2 linked regions of the Lytechinus pictus genome follow. The protein of the gene in region 1 purifies or fractionates together with the protein of each later gene. This does not show direct contact. Links are inferred from orthologs where the notes say so. Each region holds a gene or a part of one and is shown in the gene's direction. Other genes may lie near its edges. The genes, in order: cryptochrome-1-like and F-box/LRR-repeat protein 15-like.

Region 1 (8,179 bases):
TTCCATCCTCTGATGTCTTCCATCTTGGCGATGTGAGATTCTTTGACGTTGATTGACTCTCTTGTATATACACGTGGTAACTTCACTATCTCTGTATCTTTGCCTGTGTCTACTATGAGGCTAACAACTGATGTATCTACTGTGCTGTTAGATCTTCCAAGTGTTGATAGATTTAGACTTTGCTTCCTTTCCACTGCATTAAGTTGTCTGGATAGGGCTGCTGTACAAAACGTGCTGGTAGAACCAGTGTCTAGGAGAGCATAAGTTTCAACAGACTTGCTCTCGTTGTGAGCCCTTACCCTAACTGGAACTATGGGAAGTACACACCTACCGGTCCCTGTGACCGATTTATCAATGAAGCTATTCTGAGCTGTTTGGATTTCATCAAGTGGCGTTTGAGTGGAAGAAGATCTCAAATGTTTATTTGGTTGAGGCTGATTCTCTATCTCTTGATGCGGAGTACCTCTTTCAGGTGACAAGCTTTCCCGAAATAAGTGGAGAAACTTTGTATGTTTTCTCTGACATCCTGGTACTGAGCATGTTCGGTTCAACTTACAAATTCTGCTGGTATGACCTTGTTGCAAGCAATTGAAACATAGTCTGTTCTCTTGTGCAAATTTAAATCTCTCATCAGGTGTCAGAGACTTAAAGCTGTCACAACCAAACAAGGTATGGTCTTGGTAACACTTGAAGCACTTCTTGGGCTTAGGAAAGCTTGAATTATCAGTGACTGCTGTAGAGTAGCTGCTCTTTGAATTATGCTTGTTGAAGCTTGGTTTAGATGCTGATCTTGGAGAAGTCGCAGTCAGCTCACCGAAGACTGGATCGTTAACTTCTTCGGCGGCATCAGATACAAACTTCACCATGTCAGTGATATCTGGAGATCGGCCTCTTTGTCTAATGTCTCTCACTACTTTCAACCATCTAGCTTTGAGATGAAATGGGAGTCTTTCTACCAGTTTGACCAGTTCTCTGTTACTGCTGATTTCCTTTGTTAGATTCAATGCCTTAAGAGTCTCAAGACATACCTGCAATTCATCAGCGAACTTGCGTAGTCCAGTTCTGTCATTTGCATGAAGTGTTGAACCATTAGTTATCTGTTCGATCCATGCTTCTCCTATCTTAAATCTACTGCCAAAGCGTACTCTCAGTAATTCTCTGGCGCGTTGATATCCTAGCACTGGATCCATTACCATACAACACTGTATGATGTTCTTGACATCCCCTTCACAGCACTGATACAACTTCATGAGCTTTGTCCCCCTGTCTAGTGTAGACGAGCCTATCAAATTATCAAAACATGCTATGAACTCATGATAGTGCAAAGGATTACCGTTAAACTTCATGATCTCCACATTTGACAGGCTTATTGCTTCCAACAACGATGCTGTGTTTGCTGATACTGATACAAATCTTGGTTGTGCTGCGGGTATGGCATGGTGTCTTCCAAATTCTCGTGCGGTACATTGTTATCACGCTCGCTGGCCTGAATCTGTGGCTGAACAGGCTGCTGCTGTTGACCAAGTTCTTCACTTGTGGGTTCAATCTTAACGTCGAGTTGACTGGGATGCTGATCAAATTGTTCATATACAGCCTCTTCTGCTGCTGCAACTTTGAGCTTAGTTTCTAACATAAACTGTGCCTTCTTTTGCTGTAGATGAAATTCTTGAAGCTCTAACTCATGCTGTTCCTTCAAGGATGCTAGCTCTGCTGCCAGGGCTGCCTTCTTGGCCTTCGTCTTTATCCTCGATGACGCTGTTGAACTCTTACCACCTTGGCTGGCCGAGTCCTCCGACTTGATACTTTCAGATGATCCACTCATGGCGACTGTTCTTGACGGTGACGGTGACGACTGTTCTTACGGTGACGATTGTTATTGAACTTTATGTGACGTATAACTACTAGTGACTTGACAGTAGACAGTACTCAAACAAAAGACTCGGTGACGCGGAATTTCCAGTTATCATACGATGCATCAAGTATACAATCTGGGCATACCATCTAGCATACCATCGAGCATACCATCGAGCATGTTCAATCTGTAGCATAAAAATATAAACAAACAATAATAAGCATCTGTATATGCAGTTACATTTATGTACTTGCATGAGATAAAATAAATAGTCTATGTATTGCACAAATTATTTGTGACGTTTGAATCTTGCATAAATAATATTCTGGTTTCCTGTAACATACCTATCAAATTCTGTCAATGTATTCCAAATGACCTTGAATAAACTTTGCAATATGCGGTTAAATAAACAAAACCTTGACTTCGTTTCATTTGTCCTTTATATCCACTACGATACTTAAATATTACCTTGCCTCTAAACTATATACTCTGAGGCATTATTGACTAGCAATAACTTTACTCAAACCAATAACTAGGCTTTCATTTCACCTTCACTGTATGTGTTATTTGTAATTATCAGGGCTTTAAAATGCACCAAAAAACTGGCTTTAATGCCTTATTTCCAAACTCATACATATACTGTATCCTTTTCAACAACTAGAACCAATGTAGCTAACAAAGAACAACATTTGTTTATTTGACATTCCATTTCGTTTACAACTCTGAACATGAATAGCCTACTATGCACTGTGTGCGAGATTACCACACAGTACCGTACCGATATGCTATTACGCAACACTCTTCATGTGCATGTCCAAGTACCTATCAATGTACAATGTCAATATACGTTTATCACACGTGTATTCTATACGTAAACTCCAAACACTTTCACCAAAGTTATGAGCTAAATTAACAACAAATTAATTATCGTCTCGAGTTAATTTTGGCTCCATATATTCAGTTAAACATTACATTACGGAAATATAAAGGTCCTTTTACTTACAACATTGGACTTGTACCGATTATCTTGAATTCTAACTGTAAAGTCACGACGGGCTGAACTTTAAATCTTTGTCGATCTTGGCAAGGCCAATTTCCAACGCCCTCTATCGACCCAGATAAATGATGCTACAACTCAATAACGTCTCTGACGTCATGTTAAATATTTCAAAGAAAAAATACACTTTCTAAATCTTACAGTAACCATGTATCCCTGAATATCATGTGCGAGTTTCAGGTCACATGACTAAGGTCAAAGGTCACTTAGGGTCAACGAAGTTTGGCCATGTTGGGGTTATTTGAGGAATTGTCATTATAACTTTAAAAGTCTATGGATCTAGTTCATGAAACTTGGACATAAGAGCAGCAGTGTATCCCTGAATACCCTGTATGCATTTCAGGAACATGGCCAAGATCAAAGGTCATTTAAAGGTCAATGAACTCTGGCCATGTTGGGAGTACATGTATGTGTTGAATTGGCATCATTAAGTTCCAAAGGAAGTTTATGGATCTAGCTCATGAAACATCGACATAAGGATAATCAAGTATGAATAATTGTTTTGCACATGTCTTTAGCTCACATGATCATGGTCAAAGGTCATTTTGGGTCAATGGGCATAATATTGTATTATCATAGTGTTTTCTTCTGTGAATAATATTCATTAGCTATTTTCAAAGGAAGCACTGCTGCTATATCGCATTGCGTAATGCAGGCGAGACTGCCAGAGGCATTCCACTTGTTACAGATTTGACAATTAGGTCCAACTTGACTGAACCATAAAATGTTAAACAACATTGGTGATTCCACATGTTCAGGGAGAAATAAAACTTTATTTCACAGGAAAATGAGTTGAAAATTAGAATATTTCAAAAAATGCAAAAGAAATAGTGAGTGAGTGATGTCATCAGGTCCCTCATTTGCTTACCAACCGGGATGTGCATATATAACTATTTTGTGAAATTAAGCGAAACTTTAAAATGTTATAACTTTCTTATTTTACATCCAATTTTGATGAAATTTTCAGTGTTATGCTTGTTGGATTTTTCTGTTTTAATCAAATCAACTTTTTGTTGCAGGGTGGACTTGTCCTTTAAATTGTGTTCGTACATTGAAAGTAATGGATCTAAAAGAAACTTTGACTTGAGGGTAATCAGGGGAGCGTTGCCGTTTCATGAAATGACTTGTCAGACATTTTTTCTGACAAGTCCCATTTTATCCAACAGTTACCATAGTAACAGCGCTTCTCAGCCAATCAAAATCAAGGGAAGTTGTCATATCTGACAACTTGTCCGACAAAAATGTTGATGAATGAAACACTTCCCAGCTATCACTTATCATTTTGTGCGAGTTTCAGGTAACATGATCATGGTCAAAGGTCATTTCAGGTCAATGAAGTTAGTATTTTATTATCATATAAATGGTGTTTTTTAGTGAATAATTTACTCATCTTTAAGTTGTTTTCAAAGTCAGCAGGTACATGTATCAATTGCCTATAAAAACAAATGAGACTGCCAGAGGCATTTCACTAATATTTTTTATTAATGTTATTGTTTATATTCCCATTCGTGTTACTTTAGTAAATGTTTTACATTATTATTTTTTTAACATTATTATTTTTATTTTCATCCATATTTTAATCACCATCATCATCATTTTCAAATCAAGGTGTCAATTAGGGTCTATGCCTGTAGACTACATGTATGGCAAGTTTCCCCAAGTCTGCGCAGTCCCCCTTGTCTGCGCACACGCGTATCTGCGCGATTCTAGTAAAAGAAGATACGCAACGAGCACGAACTCTACACATGCAATACATAGACAGGTATTCATTAAAAAATCGAACTCAAAATGATGAAAAAATAATTAATTTAGGGCATTTCATGTGACGGCCTCAAAATGCAGCCTTTCTCATAAAAATCCCCGAATCGTGTGCAAAGTGAATGAGTGCGCAGACATGGGGTACCATTTTTTTTTTCAATCTGAAAATGACAGCCCGAGGTTTTTTCAAGAAAATCCTATATTTTCTTTCATGTTTTTAATGAGAAATTTGGTACACTTACTAATAATAATATAAGGAACATTATTAACTGAAAGATTTTGTGAAATAAGAAGAAATCCATGTTAAATCTTAACTTAAATTGTTAGGTGCGCAGACTTGGGGCCCACCATCATACATGTATGCCTCAGTTGATGCCAAGACGTGTGTGCCACCATTCTCTCTATATTCATGATTATTCGTCTGTTTCTCTCTGTTTCTCTCCGATCAGATTTAACTAATCCTTGTGATCGTCAAGATGCCTGGAGGAGCATGCATCCACTGGTACCGCCATGGATTACGTCTCCATGACAACCCGGCTCTGCTAGAGGGCATGACCCTGGGGACGGAGTTCTATCCCATCTTTATTTTCGATAACGAAGTGGCAGGTATGTCAATGCATTGTACGAGGGACAATGCAAACGTGTTTATTTCTACTTGAACGCATGTACACTTCTACATGTATTATTCAAGGTCTATTACGGTAACAATACAATGTACATGTAAACCATTTCTCAGATTTTTTTTTCAGATTTGATTGTGTACATGTATAATAAAACTATTTTGTGAATTTTTTTTTTTTGCATTGCAAGAATTGTATGCATTCTGTGCTGATTCTGTTATTTGTACTTGTATGTATTTCCCTGCATAGATTTCAGGCAATATTTCTGTAATTATTCTTGAGAACCCAGACATTTTCTTAGAACTTTTTCTTTTCTTTGCTTTGGCATCCTTCATGTATTGCATCACAGAAGTACAGGTACATGTAGACTATTCAACCAACAGTAAACTACCAGTATATTTTCATTCTGGTTGCTCATCTGTACAGCAATATAATTATACATAAAAACATGAATGACATTTAAATACATTTATATCTGTTGAGTGCTGAAAAACAAACTAAATTCAGCATGTATACCACCTTGATCAAGATTTAAAAAAATGTTCTATAGAGGTGTTCTAAAGTTTTGAATGACTTTGTGATTGACAGAAACACATTCTTTGATGTTGGTATTGTTTTTAAGATTGAAATTATTGTTTTCGAAAAGTATATACCAAGCAATTTTTACCAATCTCTCATAAAGTAGCAATGTCATTAATATAAGGGTGCAATTTTTGCGCTTATATTATTATGAAATGCTAATTATGATTGAACTACCAGCTGAATAATAGTTAAATTGAATATTTTACAAAATCAGTGGCCAGTATTCTGAAATCTGATTTAACTTTCTAGGCCAACTGGTCCAACTCTGTGCTAAAATTATAGGAAGCTGAAAATGTAAAGATTTTGTTTACTTTGCATACGTTTCTTGTGTTCACTCTGATCTTCCACCATAATAATAATAATGATAATAATATTAATAATAATAATAATAATAATAATAATAATAATAATAATAATAATAATAATGATAATGATAATGATAATGATAATGATAATGATAATGATAATGATAATAATAATGATAATAATTATGATAATGATAATGATAATGTCAATGATAATAATAATGATAATAATAATAACAATAGTAATAATAATATGAACAGTTTGTAGTGCACAGTTACTATTTCTACTGCACTTGACACTTGGTATCATGTTACTACCCCGGCTGTAGCCGAGTCGCCATGTAGGCGCTCAAGCATTCCAAGAATTTCTTCCTACCAGGTACCCATTCACCTGGGTTGTTTTGTGTTTACCGGTAAATGTCTTGCTGAAGAAAAACTGCCGTGGCTGGGAATCGAACCCACATCCCTCAGATTGAAAGACGAGTCGTAACCAATAGACCACGATGCCCCCGCTCTTCCATCATGCTTTAATGGCAAAGAAAACTAATTCAGTTCCCAGAAAGTTATACTGTATGAATGATCTGAACGACAGATGAGCTGATACATGTAAAATCAAACCTGTTAATCCAACTTGCACTGTTAGAGATTTGTGTCAAAATTGGCTATGCATCTAGTTAAACCACAACTTGTAAAGGAAACCAAGACCTAAGAAGAGAAGCATTCTTGTTGGAAAGAGTAAAATGAGAGGAACAATTGAAAACAAGTTTCATCAACATTGGTTGTGAAATAGGCGAGTTATGGACGTTCAAAAAGTCTTGTTGTACTTTCTATGGGGATCCTCAAATGGGCAAACACGCTTCAAAATGGCTGATTTTGTGAACAATTCTCCATTTGTTTTGTACACAATTTTTCAGATTTTCCCCATTATCTTTCAAATTGCATATTGCCTTATTCTGAGCATGACATATGCCATGGGAAAATATAATTCACACCACATACATGTATGTCAAAGTCAGGAAGAGATGATGTGAAATATGTAAAATAAAGGGGAAAATCTGAAAGTTTGTGTGCAAAACAAATGGATGGTTGTCCACAAAATTAGCCATTTTGAAGCATGTTTGTCAATTTGAGGAGCCCTATAGAAAGTACAGCAAGACTTTTTAAATGTCCATAACCAATTTTGATGAAACCTGATTTAAATTGTTGTTCTTGTGTTCCTCTTTCCAATTAAATTGCTTCTCTTCTTGGCTTTTGGTTTCCTTTTTTAATAATCCAGAGCATGAATTACATAAACCTGAATCAAGAATACAGGCTAATACTCACTAACTCAATGACATCCATCTTTTTCTGACATGTAGGTACAAGCACATCTGGGTTCAACCGATGGCGTTTTCTTCACGATTGCCTGGCGGATATTGATGAGCAGTTGAAGGCAGGCGGAGGGCGACTGTTTGTGTTTCAAGGAGACCCTTGTCTCATCTTCAGAGAAATGTTCCTCGTGAGTTTTAATTTTTACTTTGTGGTTTATTTTTAGTATGTCACAAAATGTAGTAAGCAAATACATGCAAATTTTGGCATTTGTGAAGGTGGTGGGAAAATTGTCACTTTCCAGGCAAGCTGGATGTACATGTAGCTATTTAAAAATAAAGTTCCTTGCAATGCTGAGGAAAGAAAGCGAGTACATCCAACTTGCCAAGGAAGTAATAGTTTGCCTCTTCACCTGAGAGTATTAAAGAGGTGATTGCTTTTTGCCACATCTGGAATTACTAAAAGAACAAACCAGTATTGATATTTTCTCTACAAGAAGGAGTTTTTATTATAAACAAAATTAAAGTTTTCATTAAAAAAAAATTGATTCTATGCTTTTTTTAACGGCTAGCGCATGTAATTGGCTTGCAAGAATCAAGATCTTGCTTGAGCAAGAAAATCGATTTGGATACAACCCAAATGCAACTTGAATCCAACCTAGCACTGTGAACCTATTTAACCATCAATACATTTTTTT
Region 2 (7,937 bases), on another chromosome or scaffold:
TTGTACAGATAGGAGAAAAAAAAAGATAAATATTGGTGAAAGTTTGAGGAAAATCCATCAAAGATTTAAAAAGTTATTAGAATATGTATTATTATTTTTTATTTGTAAAGTCGCTGATTAAAAAAGAAATCAATGAAATGTCCATCACCACCCAAGGCAATTGCTCGCGTGGCTCATGTTTTAAAATCACCTCAGTGGCTGCCCAAATGAGTCCCAAGAGAAACGATTTTTATCTCATGTTTACCTGATTTAATGGTTCAGCAAATCTCGACAGATTATCTCAATATGTTGTCGAGTGTCTTGATGACAGACTTGGCCCAGCTTGGTCATCCAAGGTATTACGTAATGTACCTTATAAATGTCGAAGGAGGTATCACTTGCTTTGGCTGTGAGCTTCATTTTGGTTTTCGAAGAATTATTTTATATCATAAATCATGTCGTTATCACATCAAAACTCTTTACAAATATATTATGAATCATCAACAATTTTATTAAAGACTATCATTTATATCCCGGTTTATACCTCCCTATCAAGCCGAGACGCTTCACAATCCAAGTGATCTGTTTAGTGATATGTTTGTGAATTCTGTTCTATTTTATTTACATTTCCGCTGTTGTCAGAATAAATGTGTCATTTATATTTCTTAGAGAGTTCATATATAGCGAAAGGTATATAAATTTATTTCAACTCGTTAGGACCTCAAAAACAATTTTAAAACATTCCCAGGTCGATCATTCATTAATCTGAGATGTTTGTGACTTCTATTTTGTCTTATTTTCTTTTCCGCCGTTGTAAGAAATTTAAGAATAATGCGTGATTTATATTTCTTCTCGGAGAGCAGGAGTCCGTAACGAAAGGTATATTAAAAAATATTTGAACTCATTAACACTTCAAAACAATGTTAAAATGTCCTGATATATCGTTCATTAATCTGAGATGTTTGTGACTTCTATTCTGTTTTATAATCCTTCCCGCCGTTGTCAAAATAGTGCATCGTTAATATTTCTTAGAGAGGTCATAGCGAAAGGTATATAAATATATTTCATTTCGTTAGGACCTCAAAAACAATTAAAAAACATTCCCAAATCGATCGGTCATTAATCTGAGATGTTTATGATTTCTATTTTGTCTTATTTTCTTTTCCGCCGTTGTAAGAAATTTAAGAATAATGCGTGATTTATATTTCTTCTCGGAGAAAAGGAGTCCGTAACGAAAGGTATATTAAAAAATATTTGAACTCATTAACACTTCAAAACAATTTTAAAATGTCCTGATATATCGTTCATTAATCTGACTTCTATTCTGTTTTATAATCCTTTCCACCGTTGTCAGAATAGTGCATTTCTTAGAGAGGTCATAGCGAAAGGTATATAAATATATTTCATTTCGTTAGGACCTCAAAAACAATTAAAAAACATTCCCAAATCGATCGGTCATTAATCTGAGATGTTTATGACTTCTATTTTGTTTTATTTTCTTTTCCACCGTTGTAAGAAATTTAAGAATAATGCGTGATTTATATTTCTTCTCGGAGAGCGGGAGTCCGTAACGAAAGGTATATTAAAAATATTTGAACTCATTAACACTTCAAAACAATGTTAAAATGTCCTGATATATCGTTCATTAATCTGACTTCTATTCTGTTTTATAATCCTTTCCACCGTTGTCAGAATAGTGCATTTCGTAGAGAGGTCATAGCGAAAGGTATATAAATTTATTTCAACTCGTTAGGACCTCAAAAACAATTAAAAAACATTGCCAAGTCGATCGGTCATTAATCTGAGATGTTTATGACTTCTATTTTGTTTTATTTTCTTTTCCGCCGTTGTATAAGAAATTTAAGAATAATGCGTGATTTATATTTCTTCTCGGAGAGCGGGAGTCCGTAACGAAAGGTATATTAAAAATATTTGAACTCATTAACACCTCAAAACAATGTTAAAATGTCCTGATATATCGTTCATTAATCTGAGATGTTTGTGACTTCTATTCTGTTTGATAATCCTTCCCGCCGTTGTCAAAATAGTGCATCATTAATATTTCTTAGAGAGGTCATAGCGAAAGGTATATAAATATATTTCATTTCGTTAGGACCTCAAAAACAATTAAAAAACATTCCCAAATCGATCGGTCATTAATCTGAGATGTTTATGATTTCTATTTTGTCTTATTTTCTTTTCCGCCGTTGTAAGAAATTTAAGAATAATGCGTGATTTATATTTCTTCTCGGAGAAAAGGAGTCCGTAACGAAAGGTATATTAAAAAATATTTGAACTCATTAACACTTCAAAACAATGTTAAAATGTCCTGATATATCGTTCATTAATCTGACTTCTATTCTGTTTTATAATCCTTTCCACCGTTGTCAGAATAGTGCATTTCGTAGAGAGGTCATAGCGAAAGGTATATAAATTTATTTCAACTCGTTAGGACCTCAAAAACAATTAAAAAACATTGCCAAGTCGATCGGTCATTAATCTGAGATGTTTATGACTTCTATTTTGTTTTATTTTCTTTTCCGCCGTTGTATAAGAAATTTAAGAATAATGCGTGATTTATATTTCTTCTCGGAGAGCGGGAGTCCGTAACGAAAGGTATATTAAAAATATTTGAACTCATTAACACCTCAAAACAATGTTAAAATGTCCTGATATATCGTTCATTAATCTGAGATGTTTGTGACTTCTATTCTGTTTGATAATCCTTCCCGCCGTTGTCAAAATAGTGCATCATTAATATTTCTTAGAGAGGTCATAGCGAAAGGTATATAAATATATTTCATTTCGTTAGGACCTCAAAAATAATTTTAAAACATTCCCAAATCGATCGCTCATTAATCTGAGATGTTTGTGACTTCTATTTTGTTTTATTTTCTTTTCCGCCGTTGTAAGAAATTTACGAATAATGCCTGATATATATTTCTTCTCGGAGAACGGGAGTCCATAACGAAAGGCATATGAAATATATTTTAACTCATTAACACCTCAAAACAGTTTAAAACATATCCAGAAAAAAAAATAGACCCCTAAATTCTGAGATAAATAACAACTTAACATTCCAATATTTTCGCCGATATCAGTTTTAGGTTGGTGTCCGCCGCCGATTAAAACAGCATTACATCATCTATTGAACTTCGCGGTTCGGCAATGAAACTTGACTTTGGATCGGATCAAAGCGCAGCGCATGTGAAAATCAAAACATCACGTGCAAATTTGGCCACCGCCGATTCGGCGGGTTTCCGACACGCGTAAGAAAAATTTTGCCCTGAACATGTGGAATTACAATTGTTTAACATTTTATGTTTCAGTCAAATAGGTCTTTATTGTCAAAATTGAATTATTGTATCATTCAAACAACAAAAAACAAAAGAAATAGTGAGTGGTGGACATCATCGATTCTCTCATTTGCATGTGACTAAATTGTGCATATAAAATATTTTGTGAAAAATAAGCAAAACTTTAAAATGTCATAATTTTCTTAGTTTACATGATGAAATTGTCAGCAATATGCTTGTCTGATTTTTCTCTTTTGATTCAAATCAACATTTTTCTGAGGTGGACTTGAGCTTTAACCCCCTAATGGCGGCTGCACGTTCGCGAGCCGTCTGTGCACGAGGAGAAATTTTAAAAAATGTTTAAAAACTCCACGAAACAGACGGCTGCCAGCTGTCTAGATTATTTTCTGCTCTGCTCTCCTATTCTTTTCCTTTCTTGTTTATATCTTCTTCTTTTTTGGGGGTGGGCATGATATTTCTTTACTTAGAATAAAAAAGTCAGAAATCAAGACTTTGTCAAAGGACAAAGAAGTTAATCTTCTCATCATCTCATCTAAAAAAAATCTTATGAAAAATGTAAAAAGCTTACTCACAATTAAAGAATAATTGTAGGCATGTGTACCGGCAAGACTTGTGCCATGGATATACCCCCAAAATACAATCATTCACACACCCACGCGCCACGCGAATTACACTAACTTTAAATTAATAAACAGTTGAGTAATTACCGGTACAGCAATGCCAATGTATGGGACTGATTTGAACAGATCTGAGATTGAACAGACTTGTCTTGTCAATAACTAGAAATGTCCAGTGCCGATAAATTAGTATTACAAATAAATCGAATGCTTACCAATTTTACAATATGAATAGCACAAGATAACGTCACAAATAAGGAGGTCTTTTCTCCTAAAGCATGTAAAGGCTGTAAAATATCAGTATCTGCAGCACACAACCCCACACAAATGGGTGCTCTACTAGTTGTGGGATGAATGGACTTTTCAGTAGGGCCTACCGGTATTTAACTCCTATCAAAATAGAAAACAGAATTAAGATTATCACAATGAATAATCATATATTTGTAAACATATATTTAAATAAAATCTTAAGTTATTCAATTAATATTTAAATATCAGATATATTGCAATAAGGTAGTAAAAAAATACAAATTCTGATATCAAAGTTTATTCATTTTCATCATCCCCTTTCAAAAGTGCAATCGCCCAAATTAATAAATATCAAGGGATATTCTTGTCAGTGTCACTGAAGACTTGTACTTTTGTAGATAAATCTCTGAATATTGACTGAAGTGGATTGCTAACCTGAAGATTGTAACATCTGACAGTAGACTATCTACAGGGTTTCGAGATCTAGAGAGCAGGTAAAAAGCCGCATAAATTGGCCCTGGCTCCCTGGCTATCCTATCATCCAAGATCACCTAGGGCTAGGTCGTGACATCTCATCATGGTTATGTACCGGTAACTGTAAGGTGATTTAGCCCCTGTGCTATTCGAGTGATGATATCACAGAAATGTGATGAATAAGTGCTACACGCGTGCTTAAAAATCGCATGTGTAGTCGGTCAATTGACTTAATATCAAGATCGAATTCGAATATCATAAAATTGTTGCTGCATTTTGCAGAATGAGTTTAACTTCTTACATTTCTTTTTTACTTTTTCTTTTTCACCTTATATACTGGTATCTTTTTAATTATTTTATTCCACAATTTTGTTATATGGCAAGTCCCCCCAAGGCCAGGCCCAACTTGAAGACCACTCACACTAAGTCAGACCATGGACCTACCAATATGGTCAGACTAAGTAGTAATACTACTAGGCGATACGAGGTACTACTATATATACTAACCTCGTACTCGTAGTCGTACAAGGGACCGTGTTTGACCCTGGATTTTGAAGTAGTCGGCAAACATCGCTTCATTGCTGAAGTAATATTTGCCGAAACTCCTTCTCGCTACGCACCGGGGCTCTTTCCGGTAAGTAGCAATTGCCAATACCTTAGAAAATTATACATATGATTTGTAAATAATTTCATTACAAAAAGAGCAAATTTCCCTTACCTCGGCCTAGCAAGTGACTTCGTTTGTCTTTTCTACGGAAATACAAGGAAGCCCGTTGGTGGCGCTAATAAATTTCACAACCTTGATTCAGCTCCTCGGTAATTTTATAACTGTGTCTAAATTCTTTGAATGCGCAATTCTTATGATTAATTTACTAATTATGGACACCAATAAATGAAATACCTTCAAAAACATAATTCAAGATTACTATTGGCGATGATAACACTTTTTTGCAATTAATTTAAAACGATGACTAATAAAAAGAAATTGAAAAAAATACACATCAGCACATGCCTGGAACGAAACCAGCAGTACAAGCTTTAACGAACGTCAATAATACGGTATACCAAACTAAAGTCTATACATTGAAAAGATCGGACACTTCACGGACTTCGCGTAATGCCTTGCGTCGATTTGCGTGTAAAATAGTGTAGGTGCCTAGTCTTTCCCTTGTCGTGTCTTTGATATGAATATAAATCGCGCGCCCTCTTTAGGCGAAAATTGATATCCACGCTGACCAATTTTTATCTCAGTGAAATCTTTACTAAAGATCAAGAAAATATACATATTTTTTAAAGAAACTTCAAGGAGAAGTCACGGAAGGATCTAAATGATTTGGTAAGTGTCATAGCAGAATGTGAAATACCAGATTATGCGTGATATTTTATGTGGGCAAAAGCCCAGTATATTTTGGATGTGTTGTGTGTGTCGCGTGCATATGACTGATATTCCTTCGCACGCGAGACGGTATGAACCCATGGGTGCCCCAAGACCAAGGTCAAAGTCTGCGCAGTCCCACTCACACTAATAAACGAGGTCCCTACCCTTGGCCTTGTCTGCGCAAACGCGTATCTGCACGATTCTAAATCTAATTAAAGAAGATACGCAACAAACACAAACTTTACACATGCAACACATATACAGATATTCATTGAAAAATCCGACTCAAAATGGTGGAAAAATAATTAAATTTAGACATTCCATGTGATGGCCTAAAAATGCAGCCTTTCTCATCAAAATCCCTGAATCGTGTGCAAAGTGAATGGGTGCGCAGACATGGGGTACCGTATGCTGCCCAATTCTCGCTCACCCTCACAAGCGCGATGCGCACGCTGCTTATTATGATTATCATTTTAAATTCGTCCCAAATTCCTTATTTAGTATACTCGCATAATTAAGCACCCAAGAGGAGACCATTACATGAAAAACCGAAGTGTGGAAAAATAAAATCAATCCCTTAATAAATCTTGAAATACTGCGTTAAATGTAAAGTAACCCGATAACTGTTTGAACTTCGATCAACTGTACCGCAACTGCACCAAATTAAGGTTTTTTTCAATCACTTTAAAAACTCCTAAAAACAGTGAAAAATTTTATATTCTTATATGATGAATGAAAATGTGAGAGTCGAAGGTGCGGGAGGTCCTGATATGTCGTCATGACATTTTTTTCTAGAATGAATATTTGTTGTGTGAATGAATTAGCGAGGGCATACCTTGAGATAGCAGCCTGCCCTAACTTCGCTCACCCTGACTGTAGTATGATAATGATATCATTGTAAGTGTATAGGGTCTAAACAGAATTGTCAGAATTTTTCAAGTAGACTTTTCTTTAGAATCTGATTTTTTGTGTCATTTCCTATATTTTTATGGTGCTGAACATGAATCCGCTTGTTGCCAAATTCATAAATGCCTCCTTCCACCGTTGCCATGGCAACTGATTAATATGTTTTAAAAAAATAACATATTGAGCCTATAGGCCTATATGGCATATTTAATGTCAATTTAAATGGTCCTATCTATCATTCTTAAGCCTTCCAAATTCAATTTCTAGATATAGATATATCAAGTCATCAAAGTATTTGCAAAAGATCCATTGCCATGGTAACGGCTTATCTTTCCCGCAGAAAAATACAATTGATTGCCTGTAGAGACAGGGCGCCGCTTTTTCCGACGGCGTCGTAAACATTGAAATCTTAAAACAGGATAAGTTTGTGAAATGTAATCATAAGTTTGAAATAGGCCTATAGGTTTCTATAGCTATCATGAAACTTAGAAATAAGGGAGTCAGTGAAAATCCTATAGTGAGTTTCAGGTCATGCCACGGTCAAAGGTAATTTAAGGTCAATGAACTTTGGCCATGTACGTTGGGGGCATTTATTGAATTGCCATCATAAATCAACATTATGGTGGGAAAAAATTAAAGGTGGAAAATGACAATGAAAATGCAAAACAATCTACATAGGTTCGAGCAACTCATTTAATTTATATATTTAAATTAAACAACAACAGAGTGTTCTGCATGGATAAGTTCATTTGAATGCATGGTAATGGTATGTTGCCATGGTAACGCCTGATTACTCTACTAGTTCAACTCATAAATTTAATATGAGATGAAAATTAAGTGTAAACAATGTAGGAATGTCTGAATTTATTTCAGGTCATAATTCACTAAATTCAGTATATAGGCCTACCTCATAAGAAACATCGCTTCAATAAGAATAGTGGTAATATTTGCTTGTACAACTTTCTAAGAGAAATCAGCTCGATTGATCAGCCTATAAAAGTTATGCTCATTATGTAG

The links.
Region 2: the proteins of cryptochrome-1-like (region 1) and F-box/LRR-repeat protein 15-like purify together in Drosophila melanogaster (affinity purification with western blotting; 5 studies listed by BioGRID). This does not show direct contact. The link is inferred for Lytechinus pictus from reciprocal best matches to the Drosophila melanogaster genes cry and jet.

The regions. Positions count from the first base shown.
Region 1 is NC_087263.1:14,451,827-14,460,005, forward strand, and holds the start of cryptochrome-1-like, read left to right. Parts: upstream 1-5,115; 5' UTR 5,116-5,143; coding exon 5,144-5,273; intron 5,274-7,532; coding exon 7,533-7,672; intron 7,673-8,179. Other genes in the region: uncharacterized protein LOC135157674, read right to left, coding at 1-1,190. UniProt on the Drosophila melanogaster protein: Blue light-dependent regulator that is the input of the circadian feedback loop. Has no photolyase activity for cyclobutane pyrimidine dimers or 6-4 photoproducts.
Region 2 is NC_087262.1:19,957,151-19,965,087, reverse strand, and holds the start of F-box/LRR-repeat protein 15-like, read left to right. Parts: upstream 1-4,466; 5' UTR 4,467-4,656; exon of another isoform or gene 4,657-4,764; intron 4,765-7,937.